Caenorhabditis elegans: one gene and its partner. The protein of the gene in region 2 interacts with the protein of the main gene of each other region in a pairwise test. Each region holds a gene or a part of one and is shown on either strand. Other genes may lie near its edges.

Region 1 (16,104 bases), on a different chromosome or scaffold from region 2:
TCGCTTCGTGCCAAACAAGTATTGAATGAAACCGGTTACAGTAAACTTTAGTGATTTTGTAGAAACAATATCTCCAGTTTTTGCGTCTTTTTCGAAAAACTTTATCGTTTTAAAGTATTTTATGATGTCATCCGGATATTCGCATTCTTGCAAAAATTTAGTGAATTCTGCAACAGACTTGCTTTTGGGTTCTTCCCTCTCCAACTCATAATTGACATCGACATTGTCAGGCGCTTCATCTTCTGAGCCATCATCCGAAAAATCAGCCTGAAAAGGTTTTGGTAAGATTTACATGAGATTTTGCTATTTCTTACATTCTGCTCCGCATCATCATGGAAAAATTGGTCCAAATCGTCGTCCATTGCCCTGAAATTATTTGATTAGCGACGATTGCTATAAAAATCAGAAAATTTAGACATTTTTGAGAAAAAAAAACGAAAAAGTATGAATCCTTGTGAAATGTCGTCAGGTGTCATGTTTGCGTACAAAGTAATGCTCGGTGTTCACGTACAATCGAATACCGTAGTTTATTGTTTTCGCTTCGGCGCGCCAAAAATAATGCAACACTTTTCCCAATTTTTCTTCTAGAATCGATACGAATCTGATGATAATTATCGAAATCTTTTCGTTATTTCTGTTTAAATTATAAATAATCATATTCAATCTCTGGTAATGAGTATATTGAATTCATGAATTCATATTGCAAGAAACCAGAACAAATTTCACCGAAAAGAGGGTTTATTTTCGTAATTAGTTTCGCTCGGAAAATCGATATTTTCTTTCAGTGTCGCTACATTCTGCTGGAGTATACTTTCTGAAGTCTCTTCTTTCGATTTCTTCCCTCTCTCTCTCGTTAACTAGACTTATTGACAAACAATTTTCAGAATGGCTGAGCTCCAATTCCCGGGAGTTTATGTTGAAGATGTAGGTCATTTGGCGTTCGGAACACTTAAATTGACTGAAAAATCACTCAACTTCAAAGGCGATAAGGGTGGAAAATCAGTTAATGTCACGGGATCCGATATCGATAAACTGAAATGGCAAAAACTTGGCAACAAGCCGGGACTACGAGTCGGTCTCAACGATGGAGGTGCTCACCGCTTCGGAGGATTCAAAGATACTGTTAGTTTTTTGTTCATTTCATTTTGATTTGTTTTTAGTTTCATTTAAAACACTCTTGCTTTCTTGCTGCTTTTCAAAAAACTTCAATCACAAACTTGAAATTTCAGGACCTCGAGAAAATCCAATCGTTCACTTCTTCTAATTGGTCTCAATCCATCGATCAATCAAATCTTTTCATCAAAGGATGGAACTACGGACAAGCCGAAGTAAAAGGCAAGACTGTTGAATTTTCATGGGAAGATAAGCCAATTTTCGAAATCCCGTGCACGAATGTATCGAATGTTATTGCAAACAAAAATGAGGCAGTTTTGGAGTTCCACCAAAATGATGATAGCAAAGTTCAGCTCATGGAGATGAGATTCCATATGCCAATTGATCTTGAAAATGAGGAGGATGCTGATAAAGTTGAAGAATTCAAGAAAGCTGTTCTGGCATACGCTGGATTGGAAGCCGAGACGGAGCAACCGATATGTCTTCTCACCGACATTCTATGCACAACTCCTCGTGGAAGATACGACATCAAAGTTTATCCAACAAGTATTGCACTTCATGGAAAAACGTACGACTACAAGATTCCTATCAAGTCGATCAATCGTCTATTCCTGGTACCTCATAAAGATGGACGTCATGTATATTTTGTGTTGTCGTTGAATCCACCAATCCGTCAGGGACAGACACGATACAGTTATCTCATTTTTGAGTTTGGAAAAGACGAGGAACAAGATTTGGAGTTGGCACTTACTGAGTGAGTTTATCTAGAGATTTTACGAAAAATCGGACAATCGTCTAAAAATATTATATTTTTAGTGAACAACTCGAATCTAGCAATGGGAATCTACGACGTGACATGACTGGTCCAATCTATGAAACAATCTCAATTCTCTTCAAATCAATTTGCAATTTAAAAATCACTGTTCCTGGACGGTTCCTGGGAAGCTCGGGCACCCCTGCCATTCAATGTACACATCGTCAGAACCCTGGATTATTGTACCCAATGGAAAAAGGATTTTTGTTCATTCACAAGCCAGCCATGTACATTCGCTTTGAGGAGATTAGCTCATGTCATTTTGCACGTTCTGATAGTGGTACTGTCACCAGGACATTTGATTTCGAGATTGATTTGAAATATGGAGGACCTTTAACTTTCAATGCGATGGAAAAGGAGGAGAACAACAAATTATTCGATTATTTGAATAAGAAAAATATCAAAATCCGAAATTCACAACGTGTCGAGAATACCGTCGCAGACTCCAGTGATGATGAAATTGATCCATATAAAGCAGCAGTTACAGCCGAAGGACGCCAACGAGATGATAGTGATGATGACAGTACTGATGAAGATTATGATCTTGATAAGGATATAAAAAAGAAAAAGGAGGATAAGGAGTCGTCAGAAGGAACTGGATCAGAGCCAGACGATGAATATGATTCTGGATCAGAACAAGATTCCAGTGGAACTGGAGAGTCTGAGCCGGATTCTGAGCAAGATGTTCCGTCGAAGCGAAGAAAGGGTGAACCTAAAGAGAAGAGGGAAAAGAAGGAGAAAAGAGAAAAGAAGGAAGGCAAGAAAGGAAAGAAAGACAAAGATCCAAACGCTCCGAAACGTGCTACAAGTGCCTACATGCAATGGTTCCTTGCTAGTCGAAATGAACTGAAGGAGGATGGTGATTCTGTTGCTGATGTGGCCAAGAAAGGTGGAGCCAAATGGAAAACGATGAGCTCGGATGATAAAAAGGTTCGTTGATTATAGTCTACAATTTATCCTCTAAAATAATTTTAATTTACAGAAATGGGAGGAAAAAGCAGAAGAAGATAAGTCTCGATACGAGAAAGAAATGAAGGAATACAGAAAGAATGGACCACCATCTTCCTCGTCAAAACCATCTTCATCAAAAACATCAAAGAAAAGTTCTGGACCATCTTCATCCAAGGCCATTTCGAAAGAGTATATCAGTGATTCAGATGATTCGGACGATGAGGAGCCGAAGAAAAAAGAGAAGAAAGCCGCTCCAAAAGAAGAATCAGAAGAGAGTAATAATGGCTCCGATGGATCTGATGAATCGGATGATTCAGATTAAATTATTAATTTTGTTTCTTTTAAACTCGTGTACTATCGTTTAAATATTCATGTATCTCAAGTTGTCTGAATATCTCATTCTGTTACATTCATTAATTTTTTGATTGCACTTTTAACTTTAATACACTTATCTTTTATTATTATTTTTTGATGATTGATCGATTTACTGGTTCAAACCCATACGTGATCTTTGATTATTTTCCGATTCTTATGAAATTTAAATTATTCGATTTCAGATGTCCATTTTGTCCGACTTTTTGAAGCATCCCAACTTGCTTCAAGTGACGGACGGTGGACCACTGGTCGATGGAACCAACGGGGTCAAAGGGACAAGAGTGGTGGGAAGTGTCTCGAATGCGAGAGGTGAGCTTATTTTATTGTTGAATGACTTTAAATTTTGGAAGTAATTTTATTGAATCAGAAATGAAACTGATTTAAAATTAAAAAGTACTCATTTTAGAATTGTTAAAAACGAAGTAGCGCCAGTTATTAGAAAGTTGAAAATTAATTTTCAAAAATATAAATTCTAACCTTTAATTACTATTCTCAATTTCAGAATTGCGCGGTGCTGATTCTTTGGTCGGAGACGTTGAGCGTGCAATTATTCAAGTACAAGAGACTGAGTTGCTCGCCGAAGTCTGCAATACCGTTTTCGACGTTATGAAGCAAAACGGAGAAGTTATCGTCTTCTCACAAGATCTCACAACTGCTCAGCGTAAACTTCGTATTGCCGGATTCCGTGTAACAGAGGTTGCCGCTGAATTTCCGGTCCGTGGTATCAAATTGGTGAACTTTGGAGAAAAGGTTGCGCTGGATCTTGGAGTTGTTGCTGATGAAGACCTAATCGATGAGGACGGGCTTTTGCAAGAGGAAGATTTCGAGAAACCAACTGGTGATCAACTGAAAGCTGGAGGATGTGGACCAGACGATCCAAATAAGAAGAAGCGTGCCTGCAAGAACTGCTCTTGTGGTCTTGCTGAGCAGGAGGAATTGGAAAAAATGGGACAAATTGCTGCTGAACCTAAGAGCAGTTGTGGAAATGTAAGATATAGCTGTGGAAAATGAAAATATTTATTTTTGGAATTACTAATTTTTTCAGTGTTCCCTTGGAGATGCATTCCGATGCTCCACCTGCCCATATCTCGGACAACCACCATTCAAGCCAGGCGAGACTGTCAAAATCTCGACGGTCGACGACTTCTAATGCATTCCAGCTTTTTCTCACCCCCTCTTGACACGTGGTTTTCATCTCCCCTAATTTCAAAAACACCATCTTTTCCACACAACCAACCAGCTGAACACCATTTTTTCCTATTCTTGTCTGTTACTTTTTCTATTGTCTATATTTCATTTTTCGTTATTACTTTGCGCGTAGAGTTCTTCTTGTGCTATCTTGTGTTGAAGAAAATAAAAGCTCATCTAGTTTCCAAAAAAATTGAAATTGGAAGATATGTCAAAACCGGGGTCTGAACAGAGTCGGGAATGTTTGTTTTTCAGGTTTCTTCGACGAAAACGTCGAACAAATTTTCAGATTTCGAAAAAAAGGTATATTTAGTTAAGTTTTTTTTATCAAAATTTATAGATTAGCTTTATATTTTTTTGTATACTGAAATTTAAATTAGAATTCGTGTTGTGCGCAGCAAATTTGACACGCAAATATCTCGTAGCGAAAACTACAGTAACTCTTTGAACGACTACTGTACTTAGCGTTGGTGTCGATTTACAGAAATCATTTATCAATTGATGATATTAAGGAATCATGAGAATGCCTAACGCTTTGGCCCGGGAATATCTCGTAGCGAAGGAACCTAAATCTCTCTTCGCCGCATGTTCTCTCCGCTGCCGCTATTTTCGCGCCAGAAAGTAGGCATTCTTATGAATTGATGGTTTCTTAATATCATAATAAAAGAAAACACAAAATTGGCAAACAATACGAAACAAATTAAAGAATAATGAATATCTTCGTCATAATTCGTACCGAAATTTATTTCGAAAATTAGTCCCGTAAATCGACACCAGCGCTACAGTAGACATTTTAAGAGTTACTGTAGTTTTCGCTACGAGATATTTTTGTGAAAAATATGTTTCGTTATACGCATTTTCAGAATTTTGTGTTACCGGACAAGACGGAATCAGCTTGAAAATTGACGAAACTAATTGAACACGTTCGAATTTACTTGCTTTTCGCCAAATACCTAACGAGAGCCATGGTTCGGGGGCGGAGCATTTTCAATTAACCGTAGAGCGAGTTTCCACGTCGCTTTCAATAGAGGCTGTTTTCCCATAATACATTGAGTTTCGAATTAATTTTGTTGCAAAAAATTTGGAAAAAAGTTTGTTACAGTAATCTTAGTTTTCCCTCAAAAAACATCCTTTCTCATTTTTAAATAATGAATAAAAGAATTCTTAAGAATAGAGTAAGCTGTAACAGAAACTGCTAGAAATTTAGATGAAATCTCTATTACATAATCAATTGTAGAGGGTCGCGTTAGAGGTCCACAGGGGTTACAATCTCATATCACAATTCAGAATCCAGTTATCATACATCTGATGACGTCATCATTCATAAACGAGAATAATGTCACGTGGTCTAATATCTTTTTCCACTCGTTTCTCCGTCCTTCTTTCGATGTGAAGGGACAAGTTCTATGACATGCCAAATCGGCACGTAGTTCTCCCGCTCCGTCACTGTCTCTTCGTTTCTCTGCGTTTCTGGGAAACCACGTGGCTATAATTTTGTGTTGTTGGTGTATTCTGTATTCTGTATACTGGAGAGTTTCGTTGATGTTAAAATAGTGGCTGATTGAAAACGCGCGAGGGCATGTGTATGTGTCAATATTCGTGGAAGTATTGTGCGGCAAATTGAAACAGAGAGCTGAGCGTATTTCATTGTGCCTGCGTCTTTCATGTTCAAGATGATGTCTCTGTTGCTCCAGTCTCCTGAGTCGATGCATCTCTCGTTTTTTGGATGCACTCGACCACACACACACACACTTACCCAATATACGCTCACACACACACACACACACGCACAACTCTAACATATTAGGGGCATAGGTTAACGTTTATTTATTTCTAAGTTTCAGAACCCTTTTCTAATTTTCTTTTTACTTCTGAATTATGATTTTCTGTTTGTTAATATGACTAGGTTCCGGAAATTCGGCAAGTGCCGAACGTAATATTTTTTTACCAAAAAAACATTTGCTACATTAGAAATTAGTTTTTTGTTCTTTTTTTGAGTTGTTTCTATAAAATATTCCAATTATTTCGGATATATTATCGAATTGTCAAAATTGTCTGATTGCCTGCCAGGTACGGTATATAATGCGCGTACGATATAATGTACTGGTTGTGCAGGTGCGAATCAAGATAGTTTTACGTAGTTGAGAGAATCATGGTTCTTATTAATACAACCTACTGTCTATTTTTGTTGAGAAAAATTGCAAACTGAAACTATAATTGTTTTGATGTAAAACAAAATAGTCATGAAATCTGTGAAAATATACGTCCTCCCGGGAGCGACCCCCGCTGCTTGTTATCATTATTATCAGATAATGGCCATTCTGTTTGTGTTATCAATCGTATTCTTCCATCCATTCTCCCTCCGTTTCGTCGTTTTCTTTTCACAAATATGTCTCGTTTTCTCCCCCTATTTCACACCAACACTGTATATCGTTGTGACTGTCGCTGGTCGACGATTCGATATATGATTTTTCCTATCTTTTTCGTCCCCCATCCTCTCCGATGTTGGTTCTCTGAAACCCTGTATCGATTGACTTTTGTCCCTGTCACACCCACAAACTGTTCAATACTATCTAGGTCGTACAAAGTTGAATTCAAATCGGATTATCGTACTCTAAGTAGTTTTGCCAAAACGCATAATTTTGTTTAACTGAACTGACCAGTGTCAAAACTTTTTGCGGGGACAAGTTTCAAAAATATTTTTCCATATTTAAAATAAATAAATAAATAAACTCGACTTAATGAAATGCACCCTATCTGTTTTAATTTTCGCACCTGTAAAAAAAACTTCTGAAATAGCTTTCTAATATCTTAAATAAAATTTTGCAATTCCATAAATAGTGAACCTATCTTTAACGCCTTTTGCAGCGGTTTTCCAAAACAATGCACAAAAAAAATAATTCAACAACAAGAGACCTAGACACTCTTTTAGTCGGTCACGTGTTGTAACAACTGATCCTCCATCGCTCTCCCCGTCCGTCCGTCCTTCGTCGTTTCTTCCTTGCTTATTGTCATCGCTCTCACACACAATTTTCCCACATTTCTCCACTTCCTTTTTTCCTAAAAAAGTTCCTCAGGGCCAAGCTATAAGTTTTTGCAAAGTTTACGAAAATGTGTAGATTTTAGTTGAGCTCACACCTTGAAGCACATAATTCTGAAAATTTGGCAATATGGGATTTTTGTTCGTGATTGGATGAATTGTAATTCCAAATAATCAATTGTACATTGTTACCTAGTAAATTTACTTTCATCCTCTATAATTCTTCATTTCACTGTTTCTACTTTTCAAAAGATTTCAATATTTTCAGACAAAAATGTCGCGCGGGCAGATTATACACAGTGGGCACTTTATGTGTTCGAATCCCCACGACGATCTAGTACAAGATGAAGATGAAGAAGATGTTGAAGTGGATGTAGTTGAAGATGATGATAAATCAATGGAAGCATCATCATCAGTTCATCATAAAAATAAGGCTCTCGACGAGAAACCGGTGACGTTTTACAAGTTTGGAGTTGGTAAAACACAGTCGATCGCGATTGATGTATCACTGAATAAGTTGAACAAATGTATCAAAGTTGCTTATAAGTAAGTTTATCTTCAATAAAAATTGATGGCATTGTTAGTTTGTAGCAAAATGACAACTCCAAAATGGAAGGATTTCAAAGGATTACGTCTTCATTGGAAGCAGAGGGTACGATTGAATAATGTTATTTGGAGAGCATATTATATTGAATGTAAGTTCCCTCTTTAATTTTATCAGCTATTGTTCAAAATCTTGTCTTACAGTTCGAAAAAAGCAGCCAGAAAAGCCGAAAAAACCATTCTGCTACTTTGCCGTACCCGACGATGACACAACACATCAAAAAATCGAGGGATCGATTGTCGAAGGAATGTATTGGAAAAGAAAAATGGAAGGTGTGTGTGCACAATATAAACGATGGAGAATTCGTTCGAAACATAATTTGGTCACGGATAAGGGAGGAATGGTGGCGACGTGCTCTTCGACAAGCGTCAGCAGTATGACGGGAGAATTGAAACGGAAAAGGGTATGATTTTTCTCGAAGCTTTTTTATACACCAAATGAAAGTGGAAGATTACCCAGACGCGAAACCTTTCGAGTTTTGCGTCAAAACTACGGTACATGGTCTCGACACGACAAATTCTTGTTTAATACATTAAGGTGTGTGCCTTCAAAGAGTACTGTAATTTCAAACTCTTGTTGCTGCATAATCGTCTGTTTCTAGTAGCGTCGGCAGATATTTGGTTTTATACAATCGAAAAAAAAACAATTTTTTCGTGTTCATTTTTTCAAAAAAAAAATCACTGCATTTTATAAAAAATTAGTTCCACTTTGAAGAAATTCCACACAATAATCTTCTATTTTCTGTAATTTCTTTTTTTTATATTTGAAAAATTAATTTAAACTTCGAAATATTTAAATGAAAAAAGGAAAAAGCGACAAGAAACATCCGAAAACAGACGAAATCGAAACAAAAAATTAGAAACAAAATTTTAATAAATATCGAAGACATTTTTTTAAAGAAACACACCGTTCCAAAAGAAACAATTGAAAGCAAGTTGCGAAGCTATGAGCCACCTGTAAAACTTCAAAGAAGTCAGACGCCAAAACACACGATTTCTGATGAATTTGCATGGGATTTTGATGACTTGGATAATGTTTTCACTGATGATTTTCTAAATTCTCTGAGTGAACCTTACATGTTTCCGGATCCAAGAGATGTTTGTGAGTTTTTTATTTTATTTTTAACTTTTGATTATGAAAGAAACTAAACATATTATGTTAGTTTTATTTGAATTTTGTAGCAGTTTAGAAACTATTTCATTTGATGGAACAAAATATGTGTTAAAATATTTTCAGTAAATCTATTAATCTTTATAAATACTTCATGCTTTATATGTCTAATCGTCAAAAACTTGTTTCAGATAGTGGAAATAACGCTGATATCATGCAGCCAGGACTCCTCCCACTACAGCCAACAATCGAGGATATCATGATGTCATTAGGCGACGATATGCCAGATTCTCCGCCATTCCACAATGATCGGGACACAATGAGAACTCCGACGAATGATCAGCCATCAATATCAGCACAACAAATTCCTCAAATGAGAAGATCTGCTTCATCTTCGGCGTCTTTGCATCAAATGCAAGTTGCTCAGGCTCAGGCTCAATCCATATCTCAAATATCTCAACCATCTCAACAACTGCAACATCAAATTCAAATTCAACAACCTGTTGCGGCTCGTCCACATGAGTTTATGGCTTCGTCGATTATGATGGACTATCGATTAATGCCGACACGACAATCATCTGCAATTACTTCACAAATGCTTATGCTCAGTCAATCCGCATCGACATTGTCTTCACAACCACAGTATGCCACATCAACACACTATAGCACGAATAACTCATTTCTCCCAATTCGAAATACAATGACAAACCAACATCATTTGGGCCATACGAGTCAGCATTCACCTTGGAATAAGCAACAACAAAGTAACTTCTTGGTTAGTTTGAAAAATGCATGAACATTTAGACAGTTTCTCGAAATTCAATAACTTCAGGTTTCCCTACCACATCAATCCCACGTCGAACGAATTCTGAATAATCAACCACCACTTGTTCCGCCTCCATCCAGATCTAATTTGCTGCCGACTCAAAATGATCCATATCTTCCTCAATTTCTTCAATCCACTCAACCTACTCCACAACCCCAATCTCATGATCCAATGATGGCTCCATCGAGATCATGGTGGCTGGATAGTCCGTTGACTGCAAGTGTTCAATCACCATTATCAGTAGCAACACCATTGCCTCTTGCCAATCAAACGGGACCGCAGACTCCATTGGGTCAGCTTATTGGGAGTGCGGACAACGGTTTTTTATTCGGTGGAAATAATACACCGGGTGGATTTAAAATGAGTGGGACTACCAGTGGTGTTCCAACTTTATCACAAAGATTAGAACAACCTCCAATTAGTCGAACTTCAACAATTTTTGGAAATGTCGAGAATAAACCTGAAAGAATATTCACTTCATTAACATCACAGAATACACCAACACCATCTCCTCTGGATATTTCTAGCCTTTCTCGCTTACGCACATCATCTCTCAATGAATCATGGAAAATGAGTCATATAGTAGAAGGATCGCCTACTTATCAAGCTTTTGCTGCGTCGGTTACCACGAAGCCGTCAATATTAGAAAGTCCTTCAACATCTGGAGATATTAGTGGTCCCGCGTCAGTTCCAGTACAAGCTTCACAGCATCCACCGAAGATCATCACACCACCGTCGGCGTCGTCAAAACGAAAAGAGCAAGAAGCAGCGATGGCGCCATTAGTGAACAGGCAGCAGTCTTGTGATGTCAATCTACTCAATGGAAAAATGGCTGTGAAGGTCGAGGAGAAATCCGGAAGGCATTGTAAGCATATTTTTTAATGTTTCTTCACCAAAGTTATGTTATCTCCAACTGAGTTTAAATTAAGTAAATTTCAGACTTACCAACCACACCCACCGAATTGAAGGAAGTAACAAAAGAAGAACCACTGTTGATGAGTGCACCATCAAGTGTCAAATCAATGCGACGACAAGCTCCAGATTCCACATTGCACCCAGAAGAACGCAAAAGAATATTGCATTTACACGCTGAGCAAAACCGAAGAAGTGCACTGAAAGATGGATTCGACCAGCTTATGGATATTGTAAGTTTTGGTTTTTCTCATGAAATCTCCAATTCAAAATTTTATTTTTTTTCCAGATACCCGATTTGTATTCTGGCGGTGTTAAGCCAACGAATGCTGTCGTTCTAGCCAAGTCAGCGGATCATATTCGAAGATTGCAGGCCGAAAAATGGGATAAAACACAGAAGATCGACGAGGCCAAAGCGAAAATCGAAAAACTGAATCAGAAAATAACGTAAGATAGTTTTTTGTTGAAATATTTTAAAACTGTATCAATTCAGATCCTTACAATCAAATCTTCCCCAATCGAGTGCACCATCCAGTTCATCACAGGTGGACTCGAAAACTTCACTGGAAACATTTTTCGATAGATATGTCAAAGAAGGCGCGAAAAAGAATTGGAGATTTTGGGTGGTAAGTTATCTAGCAGAAAAGTTGAAATTTTTTTAAAATCTATTGCTGAAAAATCGAAATATTTCTCCACCAAGGTGCACATCCTTTTGGCACTAAAAAAGAATTTATCACGTCGAGGCCCGTATTTTTGACAAAGCAACCGCAAAAATTTTGAATTACTATTGAGACAAATTAATACAACTTCATAATAGATGTCCCAAATGCTGAAACCAATCTGTGTCACACAAACAAACTCTTTCGCATCGTCTGTAGCAGGAGACTCGTCGTCAAGAAATGAAGTAGCCGCCTCGTGTTCTGATTGGCTGAACAAAAATTGGAAAGCCACAGAACTTCGGCCGCTTGCGAGTACACTTTTGGTAAATATAATATAGATACTCATTAATAATCAATTTATAAATTTCAGGTCTCTCTTGCAACCAACTCGAGCATTCTCGCCGAGCCGGACACTCTTCCCGATTATGTCATGCAACAACTCAAAAATCCATTTTGAACTGCTCATTATAGAATCATGTTTATTGTTTTTAACATACGATTTTTCTGCGTAGATTTGTTTAGATTTTTTGAAATATCTCAGTCCCTTTCATGTTGCCATAACTTTTTATCCAGGATTCTAATCATTTAGATTCAATCACGGGTTTTTTTCCCACTAGCAGCCACCACAGAAACAGCCCTCGTTTATATGTTCGGGTTACCTTTATATTACAGTTTGCTCAATTTCTCATGTATTAAATGTACATTGTCTCTACCTCTTCTGGTAATTTTAAAAAGAAAGAATTATACATTTTAAATTTATCACTCTCGACGGTCTTCATTTTCAAACACATCGAATAATACCGAAGAAAAAATTTTGTAGCAATAGAAAGGAAATTTACAAAAAAAAATCACGAAAAAAGTTGATTCGAAACAACCTTCTTCCTTTAAAAAGTAAAAATTAATTAGAACTTTACTAAATTTATTTTTAAAAAAATTAATGAACGTTTTTCAAAATACAAATAAGTGTCTGAAGATTACTGTAGTTTCTAGCTCTTTGCTGCATTGGTTTTCTTCATTTTTTATAGTTTTTTTTTCGTTTCTTCGCACCTTTTTTGGAAAATCTGAACTTAAGAATAATGAAAGGTGCAAAAATGTTGTGGCAACATAAAATCCAAGAAAATTTTGAAACAATGTGGATCTAGGAACTACAGTACACCATAAAGCGTAAAAAATTGGAGTCTACATTTCAATTTCAAAAGTTTTGACTCGAAATAAAAAAAAATGTCCAAAACGTTTCTAAAAGTTTGTATTATGATATTTAGTTATTTAAACATCATAGGAAAATAGACGTGTATTTTACTAATTTCTCCACAGACCGTACTCCAACATATAAAAAACAAATAAAGCATTTCAAGGAACTTGATATCTAGTGAACGTCTTCTTATTTCGAGTCATTCTATGCCCAGTTGCAATAATTGAAATTGTGTCAGGTGAAAAGTAAATAGTGATACTCTCATATGGATCAATTCTACTGTACACTTGTATTTTCTCTCCATCAAGAAATTCTTCATTGAAGGCAGAACAAAATTCCGCTCTTAAAATTTTAGTATTTGAAATCAGAAAATCCATATAGTCTTACTCTTGCTCTCGAAATGTTTGATCCCATGAACGAAATTCAATTCCTCTCATTATCATAAAAGAATTATTTAATTTCGCAGACCATAGCAAAGCCTTTTGAAATTCATTTACTCCGTGTCCATTGACCCATTTCTAAAATAATATATCAGTGTTAATATACAATTTAAAAATATAAATTACCTTAATGAAATCATTAATGCCATTAGCAGTTATGTTAACACAATGGAATCCAAATTTTTTTGCTTTTAAATTTAGAAATTGCTCGTCTGTGAATGCAGAGCGACACCAAAAATAAAAGGTTCCGGCATTCTTTATCTAGAAATGTTTGTTTTAAAAAATTTATTTTAAATTTTAATCAGATATTTTGAGATTGAGTGCATTTATGAAAGTCATTTGAGGATTTTCGTATGCGAAATACCAAAAATCCGGTTTTCAATGACTGGTGTACCTGTGAAAAATCCAGAAAATCCGTTGGAATTGTGAATGTGTCTTTATTCGAATAAAGAGTTTTCAATTCAAGATAATCCAATTTTTCTGGGCATTTTTCAAGCCACCATGAATACGTGGCAATATCCGTTGCATTAATTCGAATTGTTTTGCAACGCGCTAAGCTTCTGACTGTACTACTTTTCATTGGATATTTGTTCTGTAAATTATTAATAGTATTCACTAGGTTACACAAATAATATTACCATGTCAACATTGATAGATTGAAACTCATAATTGCAAACTTTCATCCACTTTTCTGCGAATTTGACAGATTGTTCATAATAGTTACAGGATTTCCATATTAATGATCGGACAGATTTTTGTTTAAATCCAAAATATTTAAACCATCGAATGTGAACATCTTCCTCAACTTGCCAGAAGACAACTTCAAATCGATAGCCGGAAAATTGACTGAATTTAACACGGACAACAATATTTTCCTGAAAAAATAATCTAAACTCTGAAAAATGTCTGTCCTGTAGATTTTGCAAAAAAAATTGTTCAATAGCATTTCAGCTGATGATTGAGAGAAACGCAATTAACACTGTGCAAACCCGGATTTCATTATTGTATACAATTAGAATAGGTATTCAAGCTTGTGGATGTGACGGGCCGTTGACAAAATTTTTTGAACCAAACGAAAAAATCTAATTTCTTCAGAAACTCAAAAAAAACGTATAAAATTCGCATTCTCGCTTCTAAAATTAACAAGTCTGAAAATATATTATTTTTTCGGTCCGAAAGTCCCCATAATAACAAAAAAGTGTTGCTGCCACTACAAGGAGTCTTGAAGTTTTCATACAATTTTTTTCATTTTCCAGTATAACAAAACTTACAAAATCTTTTGTAGAAGTAGAATGAAGGCTTCTCTCATTGTCACTTATTTCAATTTCATAAACATACAGAGGAGTTATGGAAACTAGTTTGTGATCCGATTTCGAACAAATTGAAAGTTGACATCTTGAACAATAATCCAAATATTTTAAAACTTCAATTTTACAATCTTCATTTAGAAATTTCCAGTATTTAAATCCTCCAATATAAATGCTTAATTCATTTATTTCTTTTTTCGAAACTATTCTTCGTTTTGACTGATTCTCAATTTCTTCCATTAATTCCGAGAATTGATTCAGCTGATCTTGAATATTTAGAGCTAACATTTTCCACTCTGAAATACATACGTTTTTGTATTTTGAACGTTAACTGAGAATCTTTAAATATTTTCTTTCTTGTTTTGAAAGTAAAAACAAACAATAATAACGCAAAAAAGAGTGAAAATAAGGAAAGTCTTCAGCTAAAAGGATACGCGTTTCTATGGTTTTCATGAAAAATTCAGATGCTGTTGCAATATTTTGAAATTTCCTAGATTTATGCGAAGGCTGCCAAATAGACACAAAACTGCCTACCTACTTGCCTAGAACACCTACAGCGCCTTGGAAACTATAAACACCCTGTTTCCAAGCTTTAAATTGGTAATAACTTGTTAAATTTTGTATTTCAGTCAAAAATTCCTATTACTCAGTTTTGCCAATTTTTGAGTACTTTATATTCTAGTTTAAGACAGAGTGTACAATACTATTTGATATATTTTTGAAAGCTCCATATTGAAATTTTATTGAAAGTAAACGTGCGGAACAACAATTTGAACTTATTAAAATATTAATTGAAATGAACAGTATTAAAACAAATAACTAAAACTGTCAGAATCCATGACCAAACACCTCTTGCTCATGCTCCAAATTCTCTATGTCCTCCGAATTTTTCGAACCCAGATGGTTATTCAAACATCTCCAGTCCGTTCGATCTATCAAAACCTTCGTATCCACCACGTTTTCCAAATCCGCGAAATTCTCCTCCTCCACATGGCCCACGAAGTCCTCCACTTCTACTGTTGTTTAGGTTTCTCGCCTTTTTTTTACAATTCAAGGTTTTTGCAATTCAAGGTTTCAATACGGTGTCCGCTCTTCCACGCTCAAAATATTTTCAATTCTAAATTGGAAAAATATGAATGTACCTTTAAATACTACAGTAACCCGCTCCTCGTTAACGTAATTATACTCTTTGGTTTGCGGATTTCTGTCTGGAAATGGTTGTACCTCACATGATGTTTGAAAAATGAAGTTCATCGTCTCAATGCATGAGGATTTACACGCCAAAATTACTACTCACTGCAGAATATGCCTAGGTCCGACAAGCTGGTGGTGGAATAATGTTCACAACAAACAAGACACGGGAGGCAAATGAACAAGTGCTCAAAAAGGATTTTGAGGAGGTAACAATGATTATGTAGGTTCTTGCTTAGTTATTCATTAGACTATTGTTAATAAGATACATCAAAGTTTATTTAGGCGCTTTCATGATAAAAGTTTAATTATTTGATCTTCAATATTGGATTGTAATTGTTCAGATACATGTCAACAGGACGGAATGACTTTGACTGTCTTT
Region 2 (16,512 bases):
ATTTCGGTTCGAAAAGAATTGTAGGTAGGTAAAATACGGATTGCCTGCCTACCTGAAAAGCGAAAGGCGGTCAGCGGTCGATTTGAAAGGCTATTTCTGTCTGCCTACGCTCATGCCTACTCGCCTACCTGTCTATGTGCCTGCTATCTATTTTCTGCGAAGACGGATAGGCACATGGTATGCATAGGCGTAGTTTTAAAACAAATCAAAATACCGTTTGTCTTTCAAAAACGCCAAGCTATTGATGGTAAGAGAGTGTCCCACTGCAATTGCCAAATGCTCAACAGTATTTGAGATGAACTGTAAGATTTTTGGATCCACGTGGAAATGACTGTTCATGAGACATTGTCCCTGGAGAAATTAACGTTTTCATTGCATACTTGGTTCCTCTCAGACTTACAGAAATCTCGAAATATCTCAATTTTCGGCACTTTTTCAACAAAGTGCCAAATGATTTTCTGATGATTGTGGCGACGTCCCATTCAGAACATTCGATCATTGAATTTGTGATGCTTATTTCTTCAATACTGTCTGGTAAGTCTCCAAAACTTCCAATGGCGCCTGGTGATATTCGACAACTGAAAATTTGAAATTTGAAAAACAGTAGCTATTTGGGAATTTTAAAATTGTTTTGAAAAAAGGTTTTTTCGCGGTTTTATTTTGATTCAAAAAGTTGACCAATCAGCGGCGTTGGTCAATTGGCAAAAATTTTAATTATAGGCTAAAAATCCATACCGATCAATATGAAGTTTTCTTAATTTCGTAGCATTTTCATTGATCGATGTCATAACATTTCTTCGAATTTTGACGTCACTTGGAATTCCGGCATATTTTGCATTGTCTGACCTGATTTTGAGATCCAAAGTTTGAAGGTTGTAAGAACATTGGGCTGAAAATTCAGTTTTAATTCATTTTTTTATTTATATTTTTTTAAAATGTGTTTTTAATTAGTTTAATTGTATTTTTTGCTTTCATTTTATTCTGTGCAATTTTTTGTTGCTACCGTTTATTCTAGTCAAAACAAACTTCTATGTTGTAACTCCATTTTGAAAATCTTGATTTCTATATTAATTTTATTTTAATTCTTGGGATTTTTTTTTATAATACCATGTATTCAGTTTCTATAACTCACCAATCACAGAAGCCATTGCCACAGAGTCCCTGATAACCGACGGACAATGCATTTGAACATCCAAGTGTCTCATTGATTTTAACGATTTACTAACGAGATTATCGACTTTTGAACTCGTTCTTCTTAATCGAATTGCATCCTCTATAGTTAGCCGGTCGATTATTTCCAACCACGCCTGGTCCATTGAACCCTGAAAAAATCCGAAATATTTTAAAATTGGAGAATGAGAATTTCACAAAATAGAGGTAAATAAAAATTGATGGGAACTCCAAAAAAACTAAATTTGGACGCAGCTTAAAATTGGCGAATTGTGGTGATAGATGACATTTTGAAGATACTTCATTAATAACCTAAAATTAACCACCAAAAACAAAAATTAAATAAAACTATACTCCGCTTGGATGTTCTGTTAAAACCTGAGGAAAAAGTGAGACAAGTAGGTTGTGAAAAAAACGCAGAAAAATGAGAAATAGAAACAAAAAGCAATGACGGAAAGAATCGTATCATACGATGAATCATTTTATTCCTGCAATTTGTTTTCTTTTCAATATTGAAAAGTGAAAATCCTGGAAAAAACAGGGCAAAAACAAATTTGAAACGAGATTTAAGAAATTTGTACTAAAAATATCTGGAATTAAGTCGTAGGTATAAAATCGTTTGCCTGCCTATCAGCGCGCCTAAAAATAGACGGTAGTCAGGTGTAGGTGTAAAAAAATTTAGTTCAATATTTTGATTAAAAAATTCACATTATCAAATTCTTTTATCAAAAATCAAATTCCATAATTTTCAAATCAAATAAAATCTTTTTCAACTTATTTTTAGAACTTTTGAAACAGAACATTTTTTGCATGAAATTTTGTTTTTTTTTTTGGCAATATTCAAAACTCCAGAAAACATACTAACACGTGAAAGCATAAGGGAGAAGCTCCCGAAACCCGAAAAACGGAGACTTAGACGTTGAAAAAGAGCCATTTGGCACATGGAAACGAGGGAGAAAAATGAGATGATGAACGGAGCGAAGGGAGAAAAGGAGTTTTGAGATTCTTCTGCCAAGGCAATTTGAGACGATGATGTACTGGCTAAGGAGAAGCCGCTGCCGGAAATGGGATAGCATTGGACCCTTTGCCACTTTATTTTTGGAAGGAATTGAAGAATTGGGAGGGAGAATGGAGGAATAAAGTCGAGAAGAATGCAGATGTTGTTTCATGGGAGGGGATGAAAAACGAAGAAGGATCAAGATGGAACATGTGATAGGAACCAAACTCAAGCTTCGTAAGAGATGTAAAGTTTTTAGTATCTGGGCGCTGGTGTTGATTCGATTTGAGTACAATTTCGAGCGAGACATGAAGCTTAGGTTTAGACTAGCTTATAACAATATTTAAACCAAAAATGCCCAATTTTTACTACCTCAATTTTAAGTGAGAATTTTGTTTGGTCACGGAACTTAAAGCGCAGAAGATTGATAAAATTGGATTCCCGCAGACTTTTAAATATTTTTTAGATTGTAGAAAGCTATTCTGGAAGTGTTTAGAAACTATTTTTTGAAAAACTGTTTTTAAACGCCTCCTTGTGATGTTACAATATTTTCAAAAATTCCAATAAGCTTCAGGGTGCTTTAATGTTTAAGACATCTTCAAAACCTATGCAAAATTTTCAAAAAATATATAAAAAAATTACGGGGTTTCAAATTAGTGTTAAAATTAAATTGTTTCCTGAACATCTTCAAGCTTCACAGGAATTTTCAAAAATATTGTGTTTAGAGCCAACTGAAAATATTAAATTCGAAATAATTGAAAAAATATACTAATCTTGTCCTGAGACAAATTCACAGTAGAAACAAAAAGATTTTAAATGTGTGCAGTTAAAGCTGATAATTTTTGCATTCGACTCTAAAATTTAAATATTATTTTATCAATTTTCATGCAAAAATAAGTAATCATTTATATAAATTATGATTTCTTTGAAAAATCCGAATTAAAAAAAACATTTAAATGTCTACCATATTAACGATGAGTCAGTGAATTAGATTCAACAAATAAATGAGGAATAAACGAACAAAATTTCGGTTTCAAAGATGAAATTCATCAAGACATTGCTCATAAAAAATGAATGCGTTTTGGAGAGATGAATGAGGAAATTGATTGATATGTTTGCAGGGGCAAAGAAATTCAAAAATTTCGCCGTTAAATTTTAATTTGGAAACACTTTGTTCTTAAAACACCTTTTCAACTGTTCTGGAATAAGAACAATAGATGTTCAAATGCCGCAAGTTGTAAAGTAGAATAATAAATGCCAAGAATAGTGGAAAGCATAGTTAAATAGGTTGCTAGTCAAGTGGTTAGAAAATGGACACATTTTGTGTCTTGTTTCCGGGGCAACCTTCCCCAACCTTCCCCCTACTAAACCAAAATTCCTTGAGACAACTGAGAAGCTTCTTTTTCCTTGAGACTCGGGTTACCAACCAGGTCGTGGGGTTATATATCAACAGAAAAAAATTGTCTCGCGCGTAACTCCCGCGTCTTCCGCATATAATACTAATGCCGCGCGAGAAGTGTCTGCGTCTCCAAGGCCCAGCTGACTGACAAAAAGACAAGAAAGTGGCGGCGGAGAAGCTTTGAAGATGGCAGAAGCCAAGAAGTAGTAGTATTGTCTTCACTAGACCACATTATATTAAAAAAATGTGTCTGAAATCATTGAATTGGCATTTTGTCTACGCCCGCTCTTTGACCCAGGGCTAAAATTGAATTATGGGGTGGGGGTACAATTCGGGGTTCCATTAAGGCAGTCAATATGTGTGTGTCGCAGGTTTTGAAAACGAAAAGAGCCGTGGGAATATGACGACTAATGAAAGAGGATATTTTGGTGAGAAGTAAGGGGTCCCGAAGGGGGTAGAAATGAAGTGGGAAACCAGGTGTGAAGCTCTTGATGGATTTTTGTGCAAATATTTGGAGCAAAAATTTTGTGAGAAACTATAAATTAAGTGATTAGTTTGTGGGACTTTTTCTAGTGTAATATTTTAAAACCAATTTCGCATATAATTTTTAATTATACAACTTTTTTTCCAGAAGATTAAAAATTTTAATTTCGCGTCAAATATATTTGGAAATTAGAAATTTTAAATTTGCGCCGAATGTATTTTGAGAGTTAAGTTATTGAAAAAATCCAATTTTAATCTCTCTAATCTCTTTAAAGTTTGCAGAAATTTCCGAACTTGAAAAAAAAGTCTTAAAAATCTTGAAAACGTTTTTGGTTCTCTAAAAATCAACTAAAATACTAAAAACCTCGGATTCAGCAATAAAAATGTGATGACATAAAATGGAAATTTCATAGGTTCAGAGTTGGCTGTTAAAATTGTTCAAAAATTACATAGTAGATTAGGTGAAATAAAGAAAATATTTTATTTAAATCCAAAGTGCAAAACAGAAAGTACTTATGTTTGAAGCAGTACAAAATAAAATAACACAAAAGGGAAACAACATTCATTTTTTAACAAATGGTAACAAAGGAATGTTTTGCTTACCAGTTATCAACATGTATTGTCAACTGGCAGCTGACAAATTGACAATATAAATGTGTTCAGAACAATTACCATGAAGAAAAGGGTGTTAAAGTTATTCAAAATAAAATTCTAAAATTAACTTTTAAAGATTATATCTTGGCAACCGTTTGTGGAAAACTGCAAGTATTTTTAGTATTTTTGTAGTTGAAAATTTTTCAAACGCTACTTATAATAGTGGTTGAGATGTACATAGATAAAGTTGTGGTACGACAAAAAAGCATAACATCTTTTTTACGTTCTGTAGGCACACAAATGCCTGCCTGGAGCCTACACCAACGTTCATGTGAGCCTATTTCGTTCCAAACATTCAACAAATAAGTTAAAATAAAAATGCCTAAATCTACAAAAAATGCAGGGAATTAGTGGTAGACAAACACATAGGAAGGCAGGCATGAAGTAGGCACGTAGGCATTAAAAAGAGACTGCTTTCAGTTAACTTGTGAACACATGAACTTTGTTCAGCCATGAGATAGACGTAGGCGCATGTGAAGAGTAAAAATTCTGTGACTCTTTTATATACTGCCTAAGGTTTCGTAGGTTTTGTAGTAGCCCACCTATCTAAAAAAGTTGAAATGACAAATCGGCAAGTATTTATATCTCAAAAAGCGGCAACAAGAAACCTAAAAAAACGAAAAACTTTTGTGTCAAGTGGTAGTTGATATTTGCTTTTGTAGCAAGCGCAAAAGTTCCAAAGTATTAACTTCGAAATGCGGTAGTCTATTTGTGAAATGAAATGCAACACTTTCTTATTCAAGCGAAGTGAGCAAGAGAAAGAAAGAGAACAACCAGTTCACCGGGTAGATGTAATCTCGGAGCAGTTGTCAGGGAGCAGGTGACAAAGTGTTCGGGCTCCCGGCGGCGGCAAAATTTGAGAGGGGGGGGGGGAATAAGAGAAATTGAAATCTATCGCGGACTGGGGGCAGAGATATCATCTAGCCTATGCAACAATTTTGATTGGTATCTATCAGCTGAGAAGATGAAAATGAAGGGTGAAGCTTCTTGTTTTTTGGCAGAGGGCCAATAAAATGTTGAATATAGACAGAGAGAAACACACAATGCTGATGATGATGATGATGATGATGATGACTTCTTATTTGTTCATGTGTGTTTACTGCGCAAATAAAAGGTCTACAATAATCATGCAGAAAATAAGAATGAATTTCAGAATTTTTTCACTAGTTGGAACTATGTGAAAAAAATTTGAAATTTTTGTGAAACCTTTTTCCAATATTTTCATAGAACAAATTTTGGCGGGAAATTCAAATTTTCTGAGAAAAAACTTTGGGTGGAAATTCAAATTTTTTGAGAAAAATTTCGATTATTTTGTCAAACTTTGTCAACTTTAACATAATTTGGCAAGTACGGTGATTTTTCAGAATAAATCAAAAAACAACACAATTTTTGAGAGAGCTTCAGAAATATCGAAAAATCTGAAAAATCCTTTAAAATTTACAAAAGAAATCATGATTTTTTATGAAAAAAATGCTTATCGAATTGTTTTCAAAATACCAGAGAATTTGGAAGTTCTTTGTTTCCAGATTTTCATAAAAGTTTTTCCGCTATAGTTAAAAAATATATTTGAAAATCAAAACTAAAGTTAGAATATTCTTGGAATTGTTCCAAATTACAAGATCAAAACACACTGTAAACTCCAACAAAGAAACCGAATTCATGGATTTCTGAAACAGTTATATTGGATATTGGGGAGCGAAACGTGTGATTAGAATACCATTAATTATGATATGTAGAAGAAAGACACAAAGAAAGAACTGGAACCGCGTCTCAGTTTCTCCAGAATAAGATTGCAATTAGAGGGAAATAACGGGGGCGGCATTGTTGTAAAAAGGAATGTTTCGACAAACGGAATACAACATTTTCAGAAATAATGTTTGTAACATTTGAGATATTTGTAAAGATCGTAAGTTTCATCGTAAATTTCAGACCAACAAATGCACATATTTTCCCCAAATTTTATATTCGTAATATGTATTTAAACATTTTTTGCCTTAAAAAAATGTTATGCACTACGTTTTGCACTACGTATGAATAAACAGAAACTAAAAATAAAAAATTGAAAATTAAAGGCAATTGCCGAAATTGCCGATCGCCGGAAGTTCACAAAACCGGAAATTGTCGAAAATGCCAATTGCCGGAAATTTTTAAAACCGGCAATTGCCGGTATTGTCGATTACCAAAAATCAAAATTGCCGGAAATATACTTTTTTTGTGGGTTCAGGAGCCTGAACATGCATTTTGATGAACAATTTTCTATTTTCGACCTCAAAATGATTAAATCCTTTAAGGATCGACCGTTTTCTTTCAAAAATGACTAACTGAATACTAAAAACAAGGTGAAATTTGTTCAATTTCCGAAATATAATAAGGTTAGAAAATTGCCGAAAATTTCCAAAACGGCAATTGCCGAAATTCGTCGCGCCTACTGTTTTGAAATATGCTTTTCTTGTTTTTTTTTTTTAAATCAGAAGAAACCGACAACTTTTACTGAAACGGTGCCATAATTGAACAAAATTAGAACAAACCTAATAGTAAATCTACCTCTAACAAAAACTAAAGATACCTGCTCTGTCTGTTCCCTCCTCCTGGCATCCCGGCAGCTCAAACAATGCCAAAGGTAACCGGTCTCGAGACAAGAGATTAGGTAGAAGGTAGAGAATTTCATACTTTTTAATTGTTTATTGAACAGTAGTAAAGTTGAAAAGGCGAGGAACAAAAAAAAGTAAAAGCTTTGGGATGTGAGATCGGGTGGAGAGGAACGAACAAAAATAAAGATTTTCAAGTGGCTAAAAAACTAAAGTGGTCCACTGTACTGACAGGGTTGATAAGGTTGGCCGAGCGATGAGGAAAGGGAATTCGAGAGACCGTCCATTAATTTGAGCTTGTCGTTTGATGACGTGGCAGATGTGGAGAATGCAGCTTGGGCTCTGGAAAAATGTAAATTATAATTTTTCTTATCACAACTTCTGATGATTCTATTATAGATCTTCTATTAGGTTGAACCGGAAGTCTTTGTGACTGGGTTTGCTTTTCCACTGCTAGCCGCAGTTGCACTTTGGTGTTCCCTTGTTGCTAGGGTATAATAAAGAGTAAAGGAACTTCATTGAAAAAAACAACCCATTCCCTTCTCTCTGGCCTATGTTCAGTTAGCCGGCGATGTAAGTACATACATAGTGTTATCCACATCCGACAAGGCTTGATGTACGCCTTTCTCTCTCATACCACGATGAAGAATTTGAGGGGTTTCCTTGAGAATGTTTGTCATACACATGCCAATCAATATAATATCATACACAATTGGTTCCAACGCTTCGACAAGGACGATTTTTCTCTCGAGGACCATGAAACCCCATAAATCGGATTTGGATGCGTTGAAGAAAGCTGTGGCAATGGATCCTTTCCAAACCACCTGTGAGCTGTCAACCGCACTTGGGTCTCATCAAACCAACATTGTACAGGGCTTGGCAACTCTCGGAATAAAGAAAATTAGGGGTGGATTCATACCTCACACCATGACACAAGACAATATCGATTTTTTAGTGGATGGTTCCTTTTCCCTCCTCATTTTCCACGAGGGCGATTGATTGTTGGACCCACTCATCACTGGAGACGAGAAGTGGGTCCTCTACAATAACAACCACAGGCGTGCCCAGTGGATTGGAGTAGGAGAAACCCCACAGGATGCTGTCAAACCCGACTATCACCCCAAAAAAGCTTTGCTCTCAGTGTGGTGGGGAGTGTACGGCCCCACCTACTGGGAACTGCTACCTGATAGCAAAATAATTATTGGGGGCCTCTACATTATCTAACCATGGAACCTGAAAAAAGTGATCGATGGTTCACCCCAGATGGACAAGCAACTCTATTTTCAACAAAACAACGCTTGTCCCTACGTCTTGAAACAAGTATTGTAGGAACTGGGTAGGCGTGGATGGATGGTTCTCCGTCACCCACCGTATTCTCCAGGCATTTTCCCATCTGAATACTGGTCGTTTTCAGATTTGACTCGCGTCCTCGGAGGGAGAACCTTCAATACCCATGGAAGTGTCGAAATGACACTCAAGCATTATTTCGACTTGCGCCTGGAAGGGTTCTATAAGCAGGGCATTCATAAGTTCCGCACACGTTGGCAGTATTGATGATAATGATAGCAAATAAAATTTATCCTATAGTTTCTCTTGCTTTGAGAAATAAACGATTGAAAAAGTCACAAAGACTTCCGGTTCAACCTAATCAAATAGAAATTTGCTAAAATTTTATTGAAACATCTAAAACGTTTAATACTGATTTTATTTCTAGAGGTTAAAACTATCCAGAAAGTTTTAGAAACTCCTTTAAAAATTTTGAGAAGTTTCAAAAAGTAATTCTGAACATTTCAAAACTTTTTTGAACGTTCTAAAAATTTTCAGACATTTCCAGAATTTTTCAAAATTGTTACCTAAAGTTTCAAAAACTTTATCGAGCATTTCAAAGATTTTCAGAACCATTTTTTAATTTTCAGAATTTTCGAAAAAGTTGAACTATTTTACTGAACATTTCAAAATTTCGAAATATTTTTTTAAAATTAAAAAAAAACCGTTCCATAATTTTTCAAAAGTTTTAACAACTTTTATAAACTTTTAAGACTTTTTCTGTCGAAATTTATCCGTAAAACTCACGTTGGTAGAGGTGCCAAATTTGCAGCAGTCGAAAATCGACTAGTCGCCGTCGTTGGAGACATTGGAATCGTTTGAAACTGAAACTGATCCTATTTACTCAGATGATTGTCTGTTCAATTGTTCAAATTACTTACCTGTGGTTTAATCTGCCAGTTGAACGTGGTTTGATTGTTTCTGGAGTAATATGGATTCTGTTGCCACGCGCCACCGTATCCATAGAAAGAGGATGACGTTACTGCAGAGTCGTCTAGCTGAAAATGGAAAATTTGTTTTTTCACTTTCGAATGATTAGATTAGCCAACTTTAAAATTTTTTTACAAAATTTCAGATTTAACAAAAAAATTGTTGATATATTTTTTCATTCTTAATTATGTTCCCTAGTTATCTGTACCCCGAGTTTCCCCCATTTCTCAATAATATTACAAAAAGTTGAGACAAGCGGAGTACCCCCGCCTCCAATTGTTTATGACATAAGAGGCAAGATGATGTCTGGCAAGAAGGGGCGAAAGAAAACTGACACTGTTAAACATTCTCGTGTGGTATAAACAATTGGCTCCTGATGCCTGCCTTCTGCTTACCTGACTGCTGCTGCTCTGCAACAACGTCTGTGGAAACGTGTTCTGAAGTGAGCCAAGTGGATCCAAACTTTGCGCCGTGACCTTCGTGGTGCCCTGCCCGTTGTCAATCACATAGTTTCGTTCGCGTTTCCTCCATTTGGCACGTCGATTCTTGAACCAAACCTACAAAATGATGTTAATGTCTATTTGTGAAATTCAATTAGCACATCATAGTGTATGTGTGTGTGTGTGCTCCCCCTTATTTTCTCATTATGTACGACTTTTGTTATTCTTGCTCTTTTTCTATACGCTCCTCCGCAATACGGTAATTGACAGATGGTCATCATACATTCCACGGATGGTTTTATGGTCGGAATTGAATGAATGGATTTATATAACAAATTAGCGCATTTACTACCTTTCATGTTCCAAAAATTTATATCAGATGAGAAAACAGGCATGCAATTTTTGCCTGCCTGGTGCCTACTTTAATTCTCAACTGTGAAAAATCACTCTTCTAGGTTCATAATACAGTAACTAGATGTAAGGCCTGATTGTAGGTACCTACACATCCCAGAATCTCCCAGACAACTACAAAAAACTTACTCTCACTCGAGGCTCGGTCAAGCTGATCCAGACGGCGATTTCTTCTCGACAAGCCATGTCGGGATAGCGATTTCGGGAGAACCAGTTTTCCAATTCGGTTAGCTGAAATAAATTATGGTTATGAATGAAGTATAGTTGTGGAAAGCACAGAAATACCTGCCTACCTACTTTCATAGTGACTTGCACCTACCTTGTTCTTTCTGCCAATTTATGAACTTTAAATCGTTAATAAGACGAAAATTCAATAATTGAGCTCATGACAGAACGTAAACTGGCATGAAATCAGGCAGGCAGGGGCCTTCATGGTAGGTAGGCATACCTATCATGAACCCAAGATAGCACTGGGAAATGAAAAACTTAAAATTTGCTGTTTTTCAAAATAAATTAATAAATTAAAATTTATTTTAATTTTATTTTTCCGTTCAAAAAAAGTCAAATCTGACCTGATGGCTCGTAAAATGTGTCCTCTGCCTTCTCGGTTTCTGTATTTTCCCTCCATTCGTACTTCCATTTCCAGTTGAATCTGTTGGGCTCGATGTGTCGAGATGATTGTCATCCTGCTCTTGTTTCACGTCCAGTGACAGCAGCTCTACTATAAAAAAGCTATATATTTTAATCATTTTTATTGGAACTTGAAACACTTACACTTGGGAAGTTTTGTGGTAATATCCGTAGGGGGTAGTGGAATCGAGTAGTTGAATGCATATGGATTGTGGGTTAATGGTGCGAGGGAAGATGAAATTGAGTGCTCGGGGAGCAGAGAGTGATGATCCAATTGGCCAACACATACCAGAGGGTTTGAGAATCTGAAATAAAAGAAATGGAAGGTGCTGGAATGGTTAGGACTGTGAGATAACAGGCATCTAGTAGAGGGGTAGTGGTAGAAGCTCTTGATTTTTCTAAATTTGTACTAGCCTTATTGAAATATAGGAGTTTTTTCCAACTTTAAGAAGTTTTTGGTAGCCTACACAGCCTACACGAGGTGCCAAAGCAGATCGGTTGATGCAGGATGTCTTAATCTTACAACTTTGGTAGTTCATCAATTTATACTTGGTTTAAAATGTATGTTATCATGAAATGTGTGTAGAAAGAGAAAAACACATATTTTGTTTTTAATCAAAGTTTTGGTAAAACAAAAATGAAGTCAGATATTAGCTGCCAAAGTTGAGCAATGACCGATCGATGCACCATGTTTTTAAAACTTTGATAACTGAAATTATTTCTTGTATGTATTTGGTTTCTAATTAAAAAACATTTATTTCGAAGTTTCAATACAAGTTACACTATAAAATAATAGGAAGGCTAGCAAAAAAGATATTGTTAGATTTCATAACTTCATGATATTTTAACTAGTAAGACAGTATATGTACGTATGAACTAACGAAGACTGGATCTGGTCGATGCACCATGTCTTCAAAAAAGTTGATGGAAAAGAATAAATCTAGAATTTTGGTTCTCATGGTAGCGAAAATTTGGTAAAACCAATGTGAAATTAGATGTTCTGACAGTTTTACAACCGTCGTTCTTTACCAATTCATGTCTAGATTGAATTTGGGTTCTATACAATTCTGATTATTTACAAAATATGTGTTGTTTGTTTGCCTATACTTTTGTGGATGAAATTTTACACATTAGGAGAACCAAGTTATGAGCTACCAAAGTTGTGAGGCATTCAAAACATGGTGCATCGACATCGCGATCAATGTTTTACTGTTAATTTTAAGGGAAAACTGTAGAGGCTACCGATTTTTGTAAATTTTAAATGTAAATAGCAAGGACCACTAGACAAATTCAATTGTAATACTAGGACACCTTTAACAATGTATTTAAATACCTATGTCACTTTAAAGGTACATTTCCAGAAGAGCAAGGAGCTTACGGTAATTGAAGGAAAATGAGAGAGAAAAAGTTGGAAATTTAGAGAAAACTTAGCGGGAGACAAAAAATAAAACAAACCGATTATGCGACTGCTGCTGCTGGTGTATAGCAGTCAGTGTGGCCGTATTGTCATCCATGTGTTGATCTTTTGCCGGAGGGCGCCTCAATCCCCAAGGATTATTACCGTCTTACGCAAAGTCAGTGATCGGATTAATTGAAGGCAAAGAATTTGATCCTAGACGAGACTCTTCGAAGACAACTCTTCTTCTTCGTGTGCTCTTCTCCTCCCCCCTCTTCAGAATGCTCCGCCGACTACTGTAGCCCCGCCCAGTGTGCCACCCACATATGGTAAATGGCAGCCGACTGACTGCAAAAGAGAGAGTATGATGATGCATCAAAATGGAGGGATTAGAGTCATACCGACAAGAAAAAGAAGGGAAAGAAGGAAAAGATGTTTTGAAATGAAACGGGCTACGGTGTCTAATGGGTAAAAATGATGAAGTAGCGCGCGAAAGAATTGGAAAATATCAGAGATTGAAGAAAAAGATAATCGGTTTGAACGGTAGTTTTATGGATCAGTGAGCAGGGATTTATGTGAGAAAATGATAGTTTTTTGTATGCCTGCGCCTGCCTCGTGCCTACATGCGTACCTACAGAGCACAACACTTTTCCAACAGGTTAAGGAACAGAAGTTTTTGGTGGGTGTTGTGTAATGTTTTAAAGGTGGCTTTTGAAATTTTGAGAGTGCTATTGATTTTTAAAACACTTAAAAATATCAAAACTACATCGGGGGTGTTTTTTTTGTTTCAGAACGTTTTAATAAATACTTATTGTGAAATTTCGATTGTTTTGATTAAAACTTGCAAAACTTGGAAACCTAAGAAATTGGGTGTATGTAAAATTCTCATGAAATTTTTAACTCTATATACTAAAAACATTTGTGTTCTCACTATACAAACTCGGGTTTACAGAAGAGCATACGTATATCTTCAGTTGTGCTGACCGATATAGTCGTAAAACATAACATGAAATTTTCGAGGTCAACCGGTCGTTCACAGAGTTGAATTTCACATCTACCCTTATCATCACCAGATGTTATCTTTTTTGAAGAGCAATTGCGCAAACTGTTTACAAAAAATTTCGTAAATACAGAATTTTTAGAACGGGGTTGAAGGTTTTATGAAATTATTAGAAAATGTTTTTAAAGCTTTCTTATTTGAATGATAGTTTTATTGAGGCTTAAAGGCGGAGTAGCACCAATGGGGAAAGTGTTAAAAACTACCCCTATGGTTTCAAAATGACCGAATAGCATTTTAAAACTTATCATATTTTTGGAAAATTTTCTATTTACTGTCAAAAACTGACAATTACTCAGTTTTTTCCACTTGTAATTTGGAAGTCAACCAAAAAAATTGTTTTTCTTATATTTTTTATACTGTAATTTTGTTTTAATTATTTGTATTAAAACATTGTCGGGGGTCGGAACATGTGATATTTCTTTAGATTTTCTCAAAAGCTTATATTTTTCAAAATTTTGCCAATTTGCAAAAACTTTGACCGGAAATTTTGAAAAATCTAAAATTTATTTGAATGTTTTATGTTGATATTGGATGGTTTTGGATTGTTATAAGTCATTATAACCACCTATAATCTAAAATTGATTTCACATAAATCGAAGGAAAGTTTGAATACTTTAGACATTAGGGTTAATTATTTGATAAACATTTGAAAGAAAAATTATGAACGTTGCTTATGATAGGTTATTTTTAAAAAATTCCATGAACATGTTTTTTGAGAGTTTAAGTTTTACAGCAGTTTTGCCAGTTATTTAAATTAAAGCCTAATCTGCATAAGTGTATATTTTTCAGTGGAACATGGTATTTAACATCTGTATTATCTCAAGAGAAGTCTCAAATAGATTTAAATGAATGAAATCATTTCCAGCATTTATTCTTCCATAAAATCGAATGTTTAAGTTTTCACTAGGTCTCGATATCACAGCATCACCTACAATTATTTTTTAACCACTTCCAGCCAAATTCTCACGGTCAACGTGTTCCCACTTGGGTGTAACTTCTCATTTCACTTCCAATCAATAACATTCAAAAATTCCACCTGTCTGTGAACATGTTATTGTTTGAATATCAAATACCATCTGCCCTTTCAAGATATTTATGACAATAAAACAAAAGAGCCGATCAAGAACAATGTATTATTCAGTTTCAGAATTACAGAAAAAAGGACAAAACACAAAAAGAAATAAAGTTTTAAAAAAGGTGGAAAAAGTTGCTAAAGGTGAGAAATGTGCTCTTCACCAATATATCCCAATTTCCGTTCAATTTCCCGCATTTATGTCATTTGTCAGAGAGTGAGAGCGGGGAAAGTATTGCAAGAAAATTGTTATCAAATTCAATCATCTCTCAGGAGAAAACCGCTTAACCGCGTTAATTTGTCACTTTCTTCCGATTGCGTAACTTGTCCCATATGCCGACGTCGTTCTCTCCCATCTGCCAAAACACATCAAAAAGTGTCATCGAGCGGAAGAGCAAAGGAGGACAAAAAAGGAGGAAACAGGGCATTTTTGGAGGGTTGTGAATTTGGATTGAGTATTTATTTTTGGAGATTTTTAGCTGGAAGTTTGCAAGTTTTCCGCAAGAACTCCAACTTTGCTAGCCCACGTGGTGTCTCATTTCGGCTTGATCTCCGTAGATCTAAAAAAAATGCGGGAGAAGAGACGCAGAATTCTCAACTGATTTCGCATGGTTGAGAACGTGCTGAAGTTATATTTTTTGGCCATTCCCCCAAAAACGCTACGATGTTGTAGCAATTTTCACTTTTCCCCATTTCACTAAAAAACGCTACGATACTGTAGCACCAGCCGTTCGCACGCGCTGAAGAGCGTGCTCCGAATGGCGAACTCAAAATTAATATCAGTTTCTAAAATTTCTAAGCCTCTCTCTGCATATGGAACGCTCTTTTCCAGTTTTCCGGAAGTTTTCGAGCAACAGAATTTTTACATAACTAAGTTTTCAGCAGTAATTAATTATTTATTTATTTATTTATTTATTTATTTATTTATTTATTTATTTATTTATTTATTTATTTATTTATTTATTTATTTATTTATTTATTTATTTATTTATTTATTTATTTATTTATTTATTTATTTATTTATTTATTTATTTATTTATTTATTTATTTATTTATTTATTTATTCATTTATTTATTTATTTATTTATTTATTTATTTATTTATTTATTTATTTATTCATTTATTTATTTATTTATTTATTTATTTATTTATTTATTTATTTATTTATTTATTTATTCATCATTCATCTAATGGTCTAACTTTGGAAATTCATCTAATGGTCTAACTTTGGAAATTCATCTAATTGTCTAACTTTGGAAATTCATCTAATGGTCTAACTTTGGAAATTCATCTAATGGTCTAACTTTGGAAATTCATCTAATGGTCTAACTTTGGAAATTCATCTAATTGTCTAACTTTGGAAATTCATCTAATGGTCTAACTTTGGAAATTCATCTAATGGTCTAACTTTGGAATTTCATCTAATGGTCTAACTTTGGAAATTCATCTAATGGTCTAACTTTGGAAATTCATCTAATGGTCTAACTTTGGAAATTCATCTAATGGTCTAACTTTGGAAATTCATCTAATTGTCTAACTTTGGAAATTCATCTAATGGTCTAACTTTGGAAATTCATCTAATGGTCTAACTTTGGAAATTCATCTAATTGTCTAACTTTGGAAATTCATCTAATGGTCTAACTTTGGAAATTCATCTAATGGTCTAACTTTGGAAATTCATCTAATTGTCTAACTTTGGAAATTCATCTAATGGTCTAACTTTGGAATTTCATCTAATGGTCTAACTTTGGAAATTCATCTAATGGTCTAACTTTGGAAATTCATCTAATGGTCTAACTTTGGAAATTCATCTAATGGTCTAACACACATGAGATATAACAAAACAGTCAACTAAATACTTGTTAATCATTAAAAAACCCTTATTTTTTGATTTTAAGATTTTTGATCAGACACCTTGTTTTGGAGTTACAGCCAAAAACATGAAAAATTAGGATT

The links.
Region 1: the proteins of unc-30 (region 2) and mml-1 interact in a two-hybrid assay, tested with the Caenorhabditis elegans proteins (one large-scale study listed by BioGRID).

Annotation. Positions count from the first base shown.
Region 1 is NC_003281.10:7,366,377-7,382,480, reverse strand, and holds mml-1 (Protein WBSCR14 homolog), read left to right. Parts: upstream 1-7,749; 5' UTR 7,750-7,755; coding exon 7,756-8,027; intron 8,028-8,072; coding exon 8,073-8,176; exon of another isoform or gene 8,177-8,228; coding exon 8,229-8,488; intron 8,489-8,984; coding exon 8,985-9,186; intron 9,187-9,386; coding exon 9,387-9,970; intron 9,971-10,027; coding exon 10,028-10,886; intron 10,887-10,960; coding exon 10,961-11,166; intron 11,167-11,222; coding exon 11,223-11,380; intron 11,381-11,426; coding exon 11,427-11,559; coding exon of another isoform or gene 11,560-11,595; exon of another isoform or gene 11,596-11,750; coding exon 11,751-11,915; exon of another isoform or gene 11,916-11,962; coding exon 11,963-12,049; 3' UTR 12,050-12,350; downstream 12,351-16,104. Other genes in the region: T20B12.3 (nucleolar complex associated 4), read right to left, coding at 1-267, 315-362; hmg-4 (FACT complex subunit SSRP1-A), read left to right, coding at 886-1,122, 1,230-1,867, 1,930-2,857, 2,910-3,200; T20B12.7 (Anamorsin homolog), read left to right, coding at 3,436-3,562, 3,756-4,240, 4,299-4,403; putative F-box protein T20B12.4, read right to left, coding at 12,943-13,126, 13,172-13,302, 13,351-13,485, 13,619-13,816, 13,863-14,099, 14,496-14,771; T20B12.5 (uncharacterized protein), read left to right, coding at 15,369-15,764; F08F8.11 (Uncharacterized protein), read right to left, coding at 16,074-16,104. UniProt on the Caenorhabditis elegans protein: Transcription factor that binds to the E box motif 5'-CACGTG-3', probably in a heterodimeric complex with mxl-2.
Region 2 is NC_003282.8:13,115,244-13,131,755, reverse strand, and holds unc-30 (Homeobox protein unc-30), read right to left. Parts: upstream 12,667-16,512; 5' UTR 12,543-12,666; coding exon 12,484-12,542; intron 11,334-12,483; coding exon 11,173-11,333; intron 11,120-11,172; coding exon 10,971-11,119; intron 10,963-10,970; exon of another isoform or gene 10,942-10,962; intron 10,630-10,941; coding exon 10,528-10,629; intron 10,105-10,527; coding exon 9,943-10,104; intron 9,616-9,942; coding exon 9,499-9,615; intron 9,454-9,498; coding exon 9,365-9,453; intron 7,634-9,364; coding exon 7,501-7,633; 3' UTR 7,366-7,500; downstream 1-7,365. Other genes in the region: B0564.6 (F-box domain-containing protein), read right to left, coding at 215-351, 401-578, 736-889, 1,133-1,316.